2 linked regions of the Notamacropus eugenii genome follow. The main gene of each other region encodes a partner of the protein of the gene in region 2 in a complex. Links are inferred from orthologs where the notes say so. Each region holds a gene or a part of one and is shown on either strand. Other genes may lie near its edges.

What was found.
Region 1: OSGEP (region 2) and GON7 share a complex: the UniProt entries of both Homo sapiens proteins name them as parts of the EKC/KEOPS complex. The link is inferred for Notamacropus eugenii from reciprocal best matches to the Homo sapiens genes OSGEP and GON7.

Annotation. Positions count from the first base shown.
Region 1 is NC_092878.1:36,898,725-36,906,526, reverse strand, and holds GON7 (EKC/KEOPS complex subunit GON7), read right to left. Parts: upstream 3,231-7,802; 5' UTR 3,064-3,230; coding exon 2,853-3,063; intron 477-2,852; coding exon 346-476; 3' UTR 157-345; downstream 1-156. Other genes in the region: putative E3 ubiquitin-protein ligase UBR7, read left to right, coding at 3,430-3,579, 6,949-7,082, 7,616-7,676. UniProt on the Homo sapiens protein: Component of the EKC/KEOPS complex that is required for the formation of a threonylcarbamoyl group on adenosine at position 37 (t(6)A37) in tRNAs that read codons beginning with adenine.
Region 2 is NC_092878.1:13,804,476-13,812,433, reverse strand, and holds the start of OSGEP (tRNA N6-adenosine threonylcarbamoyltransferase), read right to left. Parts: upstream 3,026-7,958; 5' UTR 2,679-3,025; coding exon 2,564-2,678; intron 1,937-2,563; coding exon 1,817-1,936; intron 1,716-1,816; coding exon 1,540-1,715; intron 1-1,539. Other genes in the region: DNA repair nuclease/redox regulator APEX1, read left to right, coding at 3,681-3,750, 3,927-4,108, 4,330-4,522, 4,651-5,168; PIP4P1 (type 1 phosphatidylinositol 4,5-bisphosphate 4-phosphatase), read right to left, coding at 6,020-6,163, 6,851-6,941, 7,062-7,114, 7,355-7,460, 7,878-7,958. UniProt on the Homo sapiens protein: Component of the EKC/KEOPS complex that is required for the formation of a threonylcarbamoyl group on adenosine at position 37 (t(6)A37) in tRNAs that read codons beginning with adenine.

The sequences.
Region 1 (7,802 bases), about 23 Mb from region 2:
TTTTTCTACTTCCAGATGCTATGGTATCTTGTACTTCTGTATCCGTGTCCATGTTATATCTCCCTGGTAGAATGTAAACTCCCTGAGGTAGGAGCTGTTTAATTTTTGTATCTGCAGTGACTAGCATCTAATAGGCGCTTAATAAATGCTTGTTGATTGAAATGATATCCTCACTCAAGAGGAATGATTTTATTTTCAAACATTCATCATATTTTTTTTTGGTTGGCAATATACAGAAGAAACATTTTCCTTTGACAGAATAGCCAAGGTAAAAACAGATGCGTTTCCAAAATCAAGTACAAATTTTGCAAGATCTCAATATATACCAAATATTTATACCAAGATTTAGCCAAAGTTTTTTACTCCAAAACTACATTCAAGACTATGTAAAGGTTTTATCCGTTTTGCAGGTGGTCCCGATGAGTAAATTTTGTTTTGAGTGTTACTTTCTTCATCTTCAGCCTCATCGTCTTCACCTTTTAAAATAACAAATATTTGTTGTATGACAATATTCTTGAAGGACAGCTAAAAGGGGCTGTTAATGAGATCAGAGGAGATGACATACGTAAAGTACTTTTAAAATGACAAAGCATTTTATAACATAATGTTTACTTCTGAGGTAAAAAAGCACGCACATTATTACTTTTGAGTTATTAAATGTACCTCTTTTAAATTTACGAGGTAAATAATCCAGCAATGTCTCATTCTATTCCTGAATTTTAAAAATTGCTATTCTGTACAATTATGTACAATTGTACTATTTCTGCACAATTCTGACACTATTAACCTGTTGTTGATAGAGGTTGTTTTTTTTATTATTTTTGAAATAGGGTAGTGGTACTTCCCTAATGATCGATCAGCCAACAGCATGCTATTTCAAGAAGACAGGAACAGAGTTTGAAGCTAGAAACCATAGAAACTCCCCACTTGGTTCATTAGCCAAACTACCTAGTTTATACAAGGACGGAAACTATCATCTTGGTGTCAATATCATGCCCTAAAAGAGCTAACCAACCTACAGTACTATTGTTGATTTGTTTTTCAGTAGTGTCCACACACTAGTAGGGAAGAGCACCATAATCATTCCTCAAATATTTTTTAATGTATTATATGTGTGTGTGAAATAATTCTAATAATAAGTGGTAACAGCGAGCACCTAAATAGTATTATATAGACATATATGTATGTATATGTCTATATAATGTTACTTTATCCTCACAGCAACCCTGTCATATAAGGGCTGTTGTTATCCCCTTTTACAAATGAGAAAACTGAAGCTAAGAGAGGTTAAATAACTTACCCCAGGTGATATAGCAGTAAATGTCTGAGGTCTAATGACTTTAATGTCTAAACCACCTATTTGTCCCTAAGTAAATAATAATACTACTGGCAGCAGGCAAAAGAAAAATGGCCAGACAATTCAATTTGGGCACTAAGTACAACCACAAAGTGCAGTGCCTATATGACATGGGTAAGCCATTTAAGGATTGGTGCCTCAGTTTGTCCACCTATAAAACTGAGATATGCAAGATACCTCCACTTAAGTCTTTCTCTTCTGCCTCATATTGGTGTGGACAGGACCTTTATTTCTTGAAAGCTACCCTCATAGAGAACAAGCTCCGGCAAATGCTAACAAGCAGGAAAGATTTCAAATAAGGGCATTGCAAGGACCCCTTCTGAGTGGGCCAGCCTTGCTACATTCAGAGAGATTTATCACTGCATAATTTCTTTTTCCACTACAGCAACTTATAAAACTATCTACTACGGCATGGAAGGATCTGTCAACACTAACAATATTATGGATTTTTTTTTTTTAATATTTTAGTGTTGTATTGGAAAGAGCCTGGACTCAAAGTCAGAAGACTTGAGTCTGTATCCTGGCTCTGCTATTACCAGTGTCAATTTAGACATGCCACTTCTGCTCTCTAGATCCCTTCCCTAGCTGGTAAAATAAAAAGTTCCTTCCAGTTAAATCCAGTCCAGTACTTAGATGTTCTTCGAAGATACAAAGTTGCTTTACTGCCACGATACAATGTAGTACTTAGAGCATCCACACTTCACCACAGTAGATGTTCTAAGTACCGAACCTCACCCTCGTAGATGGTCAGTAAAGCAGTTTTGTTTGGTGGGAAGTACTTAGATGCTCTAAGAACCACCTTGCACCATAGCGGAAACTCTAAATACTATACTTTTCGTAGTAGATGCTCAAAAGTACTACACTATACCATAGAAGATAAAGCAGTTTTGTACAGTGGAAAGAGCAAAAGGGCAAAGGATTTGGTGTCCGAGGCGCAGGGTTTGAGTACCCTCTGCCACCTACTAGCTGTGTGCCCTTTGGCAAATAACCTTTCTGAACCTCTGCTTATACTCATCTGTAAAAAACAAAATGGGGATTCACACTTGCACTTTCCACTTCCCAGGGTTTGTCCTAAGGAAAGATTTTAAGGAAATCGGACAGCACTCTATATAAATGTTTGCAATTATTTTTCCTTTCTCATTTTTTCCAATCATCATAGCTATTTTTTCCTCCAAAGAACGGACAACACTTGAGCACTAACTTAGGCTGTGAGGCCTCAAAAGACAAAAGCAACCCGACTAGACGTAAATGCGACATTGCGGATCGGAGGATTCAGGGCTGGAAGGGCGTCTCCGACATTTTCGAGTCAGAATTCGAAGCCCATCACTGCCCCCGGACCCCGTCCTCAGAAGTCACCAACCAGGACCAAGCACCCTTCGGCCCCGGGCTCAGCCTGGCCTCGGCCTCGCCGTCCTCCCCCGCCCCGAACAAAGAGCCCCGCCCAGGACCCCCGCCCCCGCCGTTGCCAGGGGAACGGGGCCGCCGCCCGGCTCACCCTCCGAGGCCGAGGTGGAGCCTCCAGCCGCCGCCGGGTCCCGCGCCTCTCTTCCTTCCACAGTTTGAAGGAGCTCGGTCACCTGCTCCCTCATCTGCGCCAACCCCGACAGCAGTCCCTGGAAGCGGCCTGCCTCACTCGGCCCCTCACAAGTTATTCGGAGCCGCTGCTGCTTCCCATCTCGTCCCACAAACTCTCCCAGAAGCTCCATGACGGCAGTTCTTCAACTGCCCGCCACCGGAGCGACCCGGAAACGGAAGCGGCCCTTGCCGCCGCAGCAGCCACCAGAGGGAGGGGAGTGGGGCGGGGGGGGGGGGAGGGAGAGGAAAAGGGAGGGGATAGGAAACCAAAAAAAAAAAAAAAAAAAAAAAAGCCTACGCATTCGGCACCTCCCGCCTCCCCTGAACTTCCGTTTCCGCAATCGGCGCCCCCCGCGCTCCGCCTTCTCCTCCCGGCGCTCTGATTGGTTTTGGGAGTTGGAGGGGCGGGGTTCCTCCATCTCCGGCTACACCCCTCGCGCGCAGTTTTCCCGCCGCCCCCGATGTGGAGCTCCGGGCCTGCCGGCTGACAGTTGAGCATGGCGGGAGCCGAGCGGGGCGGGGGTCGGCTGTCCGAGCAGGAGCCCGTGGTGTCGTTGGTGGACGTGTTAGAGGAGGACGAAGAGCTGGAGAACGAGGCCTGCGCGGTGCTGGGCGGCAGCGACTCGGAGAAGTGCTCCTACTCGCAGGTGGGCGGGGGGCCGGGGCCGAGATTGGGGGGCTCACGGCCCGGGCCCGCGCGAGCCTCCGCTCCAGTGCCCGGGGCTCCCGTGCCCGGGGCTCAGTCCGGGCGCCTTCGGGCCCGGCCTGGGCCTGCCTCCTCTCCACGGAGGGCCACCCCGTCATTCTTTGCCCTTTCACCTCTCCTTTAGGGAGTTCCCACCCCCGTGCGGACCCGCTCTTCTCCGGGATTCCCAGCCTGCCCCGCCCTTCCCGGCCCCCAACTTCTCCCCCACCTTCCCATTCCCAGCCCGACCCCTTCACTCCTGATGTGTCTCGGCTCCCGCTCCGGAATTCTCTGCTTCCTGGTTCTCTCTTAAAGGCTCGTCTGCCTCGCAGGGTCCTCAGCCCCCCCACCCCCCGTCCTGGAGGTCAGGTAGTCCGCTAGCGTGGTCCTTGCCCTCCGAGGACGTCGCCCAGCCGCGTGGCTCTTGACCTTCTCTGCCTCCGCCGCCCAGCGCCGTGCCGGGCACGCAGTAGGCGTTTAATAAATGCTTGTTGGCCTGAGGCCAGTCTGTAAACTGCCGTGTGCAAACTGGAAAAATGCTGGCTAAAGTATGAATAATCCTGGGGAAGACTCCAGGATTAAGGGGATCAGGGAGGCTCCTTGCAGAAGGTGGGAGATGGGAGGGGATGGCCAGTGAGCGCGCACGGAGATGCCCCCGTTCTTGGTCTGTCCTCTTCCCAGCGTCGCCCCCTTCCCCTTCTTTATTCCCCGCCCCCCCCCGTTTCTGTTAGCTCCCGGAGGCTTTGCCCACCCCCCACCCATTCCCTTTCATAGATAGGGTGGCCCTGTCCCCCCCCACCTTGTCTTCTCCCCTGCCTTCCCCCCCAGTGCCCCTTTCCTCAGGACCTCTCTGCCTTATTCTTAGTGTCACTGTTTGCGAAAACCCCATTCCTTCCTTTCCTCCCCTCCTCTTGGTTCAGGCCTTTTATCCTGCCCCCCCCCCCCCCCTCTCCAAATCGCATTTCCCCGTCCTAGGGCGAGCAAGAAGGGATAGTAAGTTGTGGGCTGGCTTCTTTGGGAGGTGAGGGTCAGGGACGTCCTGTCCAGTTGCGTGGATGTGATGTAGTATTTTGTAGAAACGAGTTATTTGTAGAAGCTCTGCTTTCAACGTTAGATTAGGAACCAGAAGAGCGGATAATAGGGGAAAAGGGAGAGAAGAGAGCAGATTTGGCATTGAAGACTGCGGAAGGATGAAGGTTATAGGGGTTCCCTTTACCGGCTAGGGGTGCGTAGAAGTGCAGTAAGGACACTAGACGGAAGAATTAAAATGTGCAGAGATCCCTGTCCAGAAAGCTTAGTGGAGTGTGGAGAGAAAGGGACTTGAAGACGTTTTCTGGTGTGGACTAACATAATACAGCAGCCATTGAGAAACGTGTGAGCTGCTGCAGCATTAAATAATAATTCTCAGTATCGAGTTCTCTTTGGGATTGGAGGCGATACTCTTTACCTTAGAGGTGGTATGCTTCAGGCCTTGATCTTAATGAGAGTTTAAACCTGGTAGCCTTTTAGGAGAGAGCACCTGGGGCTGTGCTAAAACACCTCAGAGGTGATTTTTTTAAAAAGCTTGATTTGCAGCAGGTGGGTAGGCAAAAACCTGTTTGTTCTGTAAGGGAGGAAGGGGAGAAGGCATTATTCTTCCATAAAGTAAATTGTCTTTCAGATTTAAATATCTAAGTTGACCAAACATTTTCCAAGATGAAAATATGATGGTTAATTATTTTCATGTTCTCAGAAATACCAACATTGTAAAATGTTGATTAACCAGAACCCTGCTAACACTTAATTAGCTAAATTTATTTTGCTGTTTCCCATTTTTATGAAAGATTTAAGCCATAAGGCAAGTAGTATAAGCATTTTAATACAAAAAGTGTATTTTAAGATGTCTGGGGGCACAACCCCTACATCATCCACATCTATTCCTATAACCTTTTATGATCTTTCTTGATATGCAGTGATGATGAGACACTAAAAGATTTTCAGTCATCAAATATTGTTATCTATCCCAAACTATAATTATTAAGGCAAAGCAGTTCCCTAATTCATTTTAGAGTTTTAAAAGGGGTTGGAAGAATTATATTTTGGCAAAACCTTTATTGACCACAACAGCTCATTTTTTGTGTAGTTTAATTAATAAAATACCTTTCTTGAGCATTGACTTTATGTAGACATGTTTAAGACATGGTTCTTTTCTTCATGGATTTTTGAAGTTGGGAACCGAACTGGGTCGTGTGTGTGTGTGTGTGTGTTCGTGTGTTCGTCCTTCGTTGCCAAAGAAGACCATGACTTGGACTTGACTTTGTTTTGAGTGAGGGAGGGCTGTGCAGGTCACCAGCCTCACTTCTCCTCCAGAGCCATCTGAATCCAGTGACCAGATATTCAACAAGATGACTGGAGATGACCCAGGATGAGGCAGTTGGGGTTAAGTGACTTGCCCAAGATCACACAGCTAGTGAGTGTCAAGTGTCTGAGGTGAGATTTGAACTCAGGTCCTCCTGCACTGGTGCTCTATCCACTGCACCACCTAGCTGCCCAGGGGCATGTACACACACACAAAATGACTAGAAATATTAGGCAGTAAATAGTAAGTGCAAAATGAGCAAACGAGTGAATTTTAGGACTGAAGAGGGAAGGGAGAATTTCAGATTGAAGGGGTCAGAGAAAGGTTTACAGAGGACCTAGAATTTGGGCTGGACCTTGAAGAATGAATAGAATTTTAATGGTTGGGAAAGGGCTTTTTAAATGGGAAGCAATTGTAATGATTTGTGATACGACTCAAGATACAGAAGCTGGTCATTATAAAACATTTTAAAATAATAAAAGGAAAGATATGACTGAAATAGAAACAGCATAGACTATATGGTTCGAAAGGTAGGCTGGGCCCTAAATGAAAGGTGTATTAAAATTCTCAGTACATATATGGATGTCATTGTCATAGAGGTAAAGTTGAAAGGAACTTCAGAAGACATCTAGACTAAGACCTTCATTTTGTAGGTGAGGAAACTGAAGCCAGGAAAAGTAAGGTGTCATGTCCAAGGTTACATTGGTAGTGTCAGAGGCAAGATTTGAACCCAGGGCCCTGTGATCGAGAGCTTCTGCTTGTTCCACTGTACATGCTTTCTCCTTTGAACTATACCCCATTTTATGGTACTGTTGTGCTTTTAAAAAAGAGGCTTGTAAGTCGGTGTGGGAAGACCTTTACAGATGTCTATGGGTTTTGAATTAAATTTCATTTATTATGTAGATCACAAAGAGTGCTTAGTGCCAGCTGTACCACTTTTGAATGAATTTGTTTTCTTGATGATTTTCTTCTTCCTCTTTGTGCATCTGACAGGGCTCTGTAAAAAGACAAGCATTATATGCCTGCAGCACATGCACCCCAGAAGGAGAGGAACCAGCAGGAATTTGTTTAGCATGCAGTTATGAATGCCATGGAAGTCATAAATTATTTGAGCTATATACAAAAAGGTAAAGTTGTTCAGAGAGCATTAAAATATCTGGATTAGTTCTTAAATGTTAACTCCAGTCCAAAGAGGTATACTTTATATAGTCTTTGCCTTCTTAACTGTATTTCCTTTAGCCCCAATTTTTTCATTTAAAACTGATTTTATAAAGGTGTAGAAGTGATTAAAGCTGATGTATGCTAATGAAACAATGTAATCATAATTGTTTTTAATATGGATTAGTTTTTGGGAGCAGTTTTTAAAATTACAGTTAAAGAACAAATTGATTTACATTTGTTTAAATTTACATACTTGGGATCAAGGAAGTGACCCTTATCTGTAGTAATTTTACTTATTTCTGCATTCTTTTTGGCCTCTTTCTTTTCTGGGACTGTACAATTTTTTTCTTATTACTTTTGTTCAGGGATCAGGTCATAGTAACCAAGCCCACTTTAAAAAAAAAAAGAAGCATGATTGTAACCTGACTCCTGAACGTAAAAAGTAAGACATTACATTTTTTGAATAAATTGAAATTATTACCTTGCTCCTTTGTTTCAGAAATTTTCGCTGTGATTGTGGAAATAGCAAGTTTAAAAACCTGGAATGCAAATTACTTCCGGTAAGTAAGATTTATCAATCATTTAATTAATAAAATCAATTGCAATTGGATGGGTAGAAAGGAAATTTTTTTTTAATTCCCTTAGCAGTTAGCTTAATCCGCATTAGAATCCAATCTCTTTATTAC
Region 2 (7,958 bases):
CAAGAGTAGTTTTAGCTAGTCCATAAAAGAGCTAAAAACAGATATCCAGTTCAATGAAATTTATCTAGCCTGTGAAATTCTACACATTCTTTGAGCATTTATCTTTTGAGGACAGGGCACTGTCAGTCTGAACTGTAAAAGAGGCTATCCTATATGAAAGTAGGAAGAAGGGGTCCTGCAGAAGCCATTCCAAAGGCTAGAGGGAGTTTAAGTATATACCATGAACAGAGCAGAGGAATCTAGACAATAGGGAATATCTCATTGATTTACACTCATTTTTTAGCCCAATCAGTAAATAGTTTTCCTACTTATGAACACCTGGTAGTCAATAAAGAACCCTTACATAGGAATAGTTTATCCCAGTGAGATACAGATGAGGAATGTTCCTTCTCCTGAACTCCAGCTGGGGCCCTTCCATTGCAACTACAATCTGTGCCCCACTCATCGACAGTAATACCTGCTGTTCCCACCCCAAATCTTGGTTCCAAATTTTTCTCCTCCTTCCAGTGCCAGTCAACAGCAGAGGGCTAGCGGCAAGGAATAAGGGAGAAGCTATTCAGCGGCAGTAAGACCCCTGCTATTGCTCCTTCAACCTCACTCTGGGACCTCATTCCCTCTCAGACTTTCTGTATCACTATGCTTACTGTAAGCATACTGTAACTGTCTCTGTATCTGAGCCCCATCACACCAGGTTTTCTTAACCTTTTTGGTGTCACAGACCTCTTTGACAGTCTAGTGAAGCCTATGGACCCTTTTTCACAATAATGCTTTTACACGCTTAGGACTATTAAATAAATAATACTGAAATACAATTATCAAAAAATAAAGAAAATCAAGAATCCCAAGTTAAGGACCTCTGCATCAACCTATAAATATATAATATACATATATAACATATATGGTATACAAATACATAAATATATCAGCCCACACGGGGCAATGATAATGATATACCTAAACTCTGCACATTTTGATAAATACATAAGATGGTAACTACCTATAGTTAAACAGTAAGCTCCTCTTAAGTGTTTGAATCAATGCTGGTTCACTAGCCACCTTGAGGAAACTACAACAAAGGATGGTAAAATGGAAGAAAAACTAGGTCCAGTTTTCACAAGAGTATTGACGATGCTCTGAGGCAGCTTTGATGAATATCCTCGGCTCTAGTGTTCTGGGATGTGGTAAACAAACATGTTTCCCTTATCCAAATCCTTCAGACTTGGATCATCATCTTTTTCAGCCTTTATCTTTCTAGATGACAAAACTCTAAACTTCGTAATTTACCTGGATACCACCTCATTCTGTTGAGCATTTAAAACAGAACTTCCTAGACCTTTTTCTTAGTAGCTGGCTATGTCTTAAAACGGTTGCTGATGTATCCTTAGTAGCGGTGTGCTACATCACAGTTCTGCACGTGTGATGTTTCCTGATGCATCATTGTAACATGTAAATGGATACTTCTTTTACAGCCTCCTGCTACTCATTTAAAATGAAAGCGCCTAGAGTCGGAAGGAGGGGTAAGCAGCGTTTCCCCGGTACCTGAGTGTTTCCACCGCTGACATAGAGCACCGTTGGACTGGTAGCTCCAGTGATGAGGCGGCCCATCTCAATGTGGCCCACGCAATGATTCACAGCCACCAAGGGCTTATTCCACAACTGGGCCACGGTTCGGGCAACGATAGCCACCGAGACGAGGGGGGCACCCATTCCAGGGCCTGCAGTGAAGGAGAAGTAGGGGTGGGTCCTCTACGGTACAGATTTGGAGCTAGAAGAGCCTCAGTCCTTTCCCACCCCAAGGCCGCTGCTCCACCCATACCCTTGGTAAAGGCCACGCAGTCAATGTCCTTAGGGTGGAGTCCGGCTTCGGTCAGCGCCTCTTGCAGCAGGTCCAGCACGCAAGCTCGGTGGTGCCGGGCAGTGTCTCCCGGCAGAAACCCTGTGGAGATTTGGATACGAGGGTCCGAGGTCACACACCTTCTTTTGGAAAAGTACCCCAGGAAGTCACCGTTCAGGGAACTCGAGGTCAGCCCTGGCTCTGGCTCCAGGGAAAGGGCAGCAGAAGAGCCAGAAAGACCCGCCTTGGAGCTCCAGCCCCAGGGGCCGGGCCTCCAGATCCGGCTGTCCTCGGCCTGGGTTCTAACCCCAGCGGTGACCCGGGCTGCGGTGACCCTGGGCTGCGGTGACCCTGGGCTGCGGTGACCCGGGCTGCGGTGACCCGGGCTGCGGTGACCCCCCTGGGCTGCGGTGACCCGGGCTGCGGTGACCCCCCCTGGGCTGCGGTGACCCGGGCTCCCGAGCCCTCGGACTTCGGCTCCCGCGTCCGCGCTGACCACAGTGTCCGAGCACGGGAGAATTACGGGAGGCGTCCGGGGAGAAAACAGGGGAAGCGTTTTGGAGTCACCGCGATCAACGTCCACCCGTACAACGAGGCGGGTCGTGGCCGCGCTGCCCACCGCCCACCCAACAAACGCGGGCATCTACCCGTCATCACCCCACTGCGCGGCACGGCCTGCGAGCGGGCAGGGTGGGCACAGCTCCCCTCCCCCGCCCCGCACCCACTGACCGGTGCCCGGAGGGGTGAGGTAGGTCCGCCGAGGGTTGGCCAGCACCGCTCCATCTCTCACGATGCCCACGCCGATCTTGTTGGCGCTCCCCTCGAAACCGAGCACCGTGGGCATGGCTGGGGCTGCGGGGTCAGACAGAGGTCCCGGGGGCTCATGGAGCTCTGCCCTTAGCCCGCCCCCGCCCACGCCGACGCTGCCGCGGCCAGAAGAGGTCACGGAACACGGCGCGGACTGACCGGAACACGGCTGGAGCGGTCAGAGCCCGGCTTACCCGGCCACGAACAGCGCAGTTCTTTTGCCCCGCCCCCGTCGCTACGGCGACGGGATCAAAGGCCCCGCCCCCTCTCCTGAGGCCTGCGCCTAGTGGGGTCCGCCCTAGCCACTGCCGGGGGTGGGGGGTGACTCGGCGTCTTTTCCTCTCGGCCCCATCACGAGCCAGCGTGTCTCTTCTAGGCCCTCCCGGACTCTTGCGGCCCTCCCCTGCATGTGACAGCCTGCGTGGCCGCTCGGACGGTGGAGTCCCACGTAAGGCACCAGGATAGACAGCCCCGAGGGAGAAGACCTCTCGGACGCGCGTCGGAGTCACATGGAGGGGCGGGCTCTCCGCGCTTGGTCTCAGCCAATCCCGGACGTCTCCTCTGCTCGGAAGCCCGCGATCCGAGGCCACGTGACCAGGGCCAGCTCCCCCACGTGGGGAATCGCGGGTTCTGCTCTTTGTGTCGGCGGGAGGAAGCAGCTCGGATCTTCCCGGCGGAGTCCGCTTCGGGCTGCATTCCTCCGGAGCTCCCGGCCGTCGGCGGTGCTGTAAGAGCTGCCGTGGGCGAGAAGCGTCCGCCGGCCGAGGAGCCTCTCAGTACGAAGTTGTTAGGCTGGGGCCTGAGGGGGCCGGGAATAACCGGGGCTGGGATCCCGGGATGTTTGGGGAAGGGGGAAGGGAGCGCGGAGCGGAGGGAGGGATGTCCCAGCCTTGTCCGGGGAACGGCCCCTCTCCTCCCCCGCCGGCACCGTCCCTATCTCTTCTCTATTCCCGGTGTCCGCAGAGGCGTCCACAGCGCCAGGATTCTGCTGCGTGGGGCCGCAGGGGCCTTGGGCCGCGGGGCGCTGTTCTGGGCCAGGATGCCAAAGCGAGGGAAGAAGGAGGCCTCTTCGAAGGACGGGATCGGGGAGGAGGAGCCCGGGGCTAAAGGTAACCCGGGGACCTTGGATCAGTGCAGATCTCCCGAAGTGGGAAAAGGGGGCAGAGTAGGTGTCCATGGGGTGGACCCCGTGGTCACCTGGCTATAACGGGCCACCCGAAGTAGAAGTGTCTACTATCACCCTTGTGAAATCCGCCCTGGCCTTTCCCAATAAAACTTGTAACAGAGCCTGAGCCTAAGAAGACCAAGAAGGGTGCCAAGGAGAAGGAGGCAGCAGGGGAAGGGTCTGCCACGTACGAGGACCCCCCAGACCAGCGAACCTCCCCCAGCGGCAAACCCTTCACGCTCAAGATATGTTCCTGGAACGTGGATGGACTCCGGGCCTGGATCAAGAAAAAGGGCCTGGATGTGAGTATGGCGCTCAGGAAGGGAAAATGACTCCAAACTGTTGACTTGTTCTGGGGAGTCTAGTTCTGTTGGTTTCTCTGTTTAAAGATTTTCTCCTTAAAATGCCAGCATCTCATTTGGGGAATTTAGGCTTTAGGATGCGCTGAGTTGGGGAGGAGGCAGAGGGTGATGGTCTGGGATGAGCAAGTTCTTGTAATCTGCTTTCCTTTCTCCATGGACAGTGGGTCAAGGAAGAAGCTCCTGACATCCTTTGCCTCCAAGAAACCAAATGTTCAGAGAACAAGTTGCCGCCTGAGCTTCAGGACCTGCCTGGCCTTAGCCACCAGTACTGGTCCTCACCCACAGATAAAGAAGGCTACAGCGGCGTTGGTCTGCTTTCCCGGCAGCGCCCACTCAACGTCAGCTTTGGCATTGGTGAGACATACCTTGCTGCCCTTATCCTGACTGCTCTCTGAGACTGGAAGTGTTTGAAACATTTCCCAGCCTCACCTTCACTTTCCAATGCTTGATCTTTATCTGGGTTTGCTGTGTCCATTCCATAGGTGAAGAGGAGCATGATCAGGAGGGCCGGGTGATAGTGGCTGAGTTTGAAGCGTTTGTGTTGGTGACAGCCTACGTACCTAATGCAGGACGAGGGCTGGTTCGACTGGAATATCGACAAAAATGGGATGAAGCATTTCGCAAGTTTCTGAAGGGGCTGAATGCCAAAAAGCCCCTTGTGCTCTGCGGGGACCTCAATGTGGCCCATGAAGAGATTGACTTGCGCAATCCCAAGGGAAACAAGAAAAATGCTGGGTTTACCCCACAGGAACGTCAAGGTTTTGGGGAGCTGCTTCAAGCAGTGCCCTTGACTGACAGTTTCCGTCACCTCTATCCAGAGGCAGCTTATGCTTATACTTTTTGGACCTACATGATGAATGCCCGAGCCAAGAATGTTGGCTGGCGGCTTGACTATTTCTTACTGTCCCGGAGCTTGCTCCCTGCCCTGTGTGACAGTAAGATCCGGTCCAAGGCCCTAGGTAGCGACCACTGTCCTATCACCCTCTTGCTGGCTTTGTAATCCTGCATTTTAAAGTGGTTCTTCAGCAGCCAGAAATGCTGGACTGTTTCTTTGATTTTGAGATATCTATTTGAGAATAAAGAACCGTAGAGGTCTAGCCTTTTGGTTTTTATGTCCTGTCCCCTTTGGAAGGGATCTGGAATCTCTTCTTCCCCCACTCAAAAAAAAAAAAAAGTGACACAAGGAATAAGGTGGAGTCACAACTTTATTTACAAGCACAGGATGAGCCCCTGATCCCCCAAAACAGACAAACCGGCCACAGCCGGTAAGAGGAAGGACTTGGGGAGAGGGAGCACAGGTTGGGGAACATGCCCCACATTAAATAGCTATATACACATCGGTTCCCATAGTACTGTACAGAGCAGCGGCTGACCCCACCCCCACAGGGCACGGAAAGGGGTGGGGAGAGGAGGCCAAGAGGGCAGCCAAATTAGAGTTACCCCCTGGTGAAGTGCAATAGCAGCAGCAAGGTCCTGGGGGTGCAAAAGGGAGGACAACTCCCAGGGCTGCCTACCCCTGCCCTGCCCTGGAATGTCTGAGGGACAGGAATGGCCCCTTAGGAGAGGATGGAGGAAGGAAAGAGCTAGAACCATTTTCCGGAACTTGGGGTAAGGATACTTTATCTCCCACTCCACCCCAAGCACAGGCAGCCCTCAGCAGTGGCCCACCCACCCTTCCAATCTTGTTTGTCTCTGAGGGCCCAGATCCTTCCTGTTTCTTTCCCCTATAGAAGAGGAGGGCAACAGCCTGGCTCCTCTTATGGAAGCCAAGGGGACTTTCCCATTCCCCTTTGTAGTGTCACTGTTCCTGCTGGAGAGGGGCCAGGCACAGTTAGTGGATCATTCTGGGGCTCAAGAATAGTTCTGGACAGGGTGGCTGACCTTCATACAGGCCCAGTAGAGAGCCCTGCCTAGACAGAGCACAGCCAGCAGGATGACAAATGCCCAAGCTGCGTAGATACCCCCATACTGTTGGGCATGCTTCCATGTGCCAAACTAGGAGAGGAATATGGAAGAAGAAAAGGAATCAGTGCCAAAATGTCAGTCCACCACCTGATAAGCCATTGCGTCCAAGCCAGCTTCAGTTACCACCCCTACCTATAGGCAATTACATCAGAAATGAGATGCAACTCTTCAGGGACATTCAATCCTCATCTGCCTCGTGGAAGCAGCAGTTATTACCCACTGGGCATATAGTTCTCTACTTTAAATTCTCTGGAAAGTTAAGTTCCCAATCTCACTTACGACAAAGTTATACATGGCAGCTAGGTGTTACTGAGTCACAGTGTATAGAGTAACTGACCCTGGTATCAGGAGGACTTGAATTCAAGTGCAGCTGGCCTTAGACACTTAGTGACTATGGGACCCTGGGCAAGTCATTTAACCCAGACTGCCTCCCCTTCAAAAAACAAAAAAGACAAAGTTACATCAGCTTGCAATTTGAGAGTTGTTCCTATCACTAGCCATTTCATTTGTTCTTTTCTGTGCAGAGAAAACCTTTCCCATTTGATCCTGAAGACTGCATCAATCCCCAATCAGCCATTTTTTGGTCAGATAAACCTCAGGTTTTTGGTTTTTTTAAACTACTCTTATGAAACCTTTGATTCTAGTAGTGAACTTGGGAAAGTAGAAAAGAGGAAGATGAAAAGTGAAAGGTCAGAGGAGATAGAGCTAGTTACTCACTGCTAAGCCTGTGGCAGTAACAGCCAATAGTAGCCCAAGTAGGAAACAGCAAATGCATCTCTTCCTGGGATATCTTCGCCCAATTGATGAGCTATGAAGGGATAAGCATAGGTGGCAAGCCTTTCATGACTTTGTAATCCTTATATAGTCAACATCCCCTACCTCCTCCCTCAGATAAGTAGGTTTATAATATCAATTCCAAATCACTTACACTTTCTTGCAGTGGGGGCAACGTGCCAAGGTTCGACCTGTAAACTCTGTCCACTATAGAGAAAATAGGATGAGGGGTTAATTTATGGTAGAAGCAGAAATAAAAATGGCCTGTAAGGTCAATTCTTTGAGGGATTCCATGGAAAAACACAAGGACTGAACAGGGGAATGGACAAAAAAGGGCAAAAGTGGTGATTTCAATAACTGACCTTCCCCACATTCAGTATTATCTACAGAAATATATTCTCATAAATGTCTACTAGCCCCTTCCCGGCTTGTCCCATCCTTCCTCACCAGAAAGGTGTTCTTGCAATGGCCACAGTTGACGCTGACACCTACGGGCTGTGGTTCTGGACTCAGAGGACCTGGGTGTACTGGACCCAGGTTGATAATTCTTTTACTGTTGCAGAGAATGGAAGAAGGATACAGTTTAGTACCCTTCGAATCCCAAGAACTATTTCCATTCCCTCTTAAGAGATCACTTGGATAGTGTCCTCCATACAAGATCACCTGCCTCCCTATCCTTAACTGATACACCTTGATAAGAAAATATGGCCTAGGTAGTCCCACAAGACCACATCTTTCCCCCAAATCTTTTATGTAAGGATCCACGGAAGCTGACTGGTTAGGTAAGCCAGAATCATCATGGAAGAAGAGTTCTTCGTTGTCCACATTCTGAACTTTCCCTTGCAGCTCTACCAACAAGCCTTTCCCCAGGTCTCTTTCTATCCCCACAAATTCCTTCACTCTTGAATTCCCTACAACTTCTTTAGTCTCCACCCTTCCTCATTTGGCTTTCCTAGTTCTCCGTTCTCACCATGTGGGCCGAGGACAGGCAATCCTCTGGGAAGTCACTTTGCAGATGAGGAGACAGTTACAGGGGCACCGAACATACTTC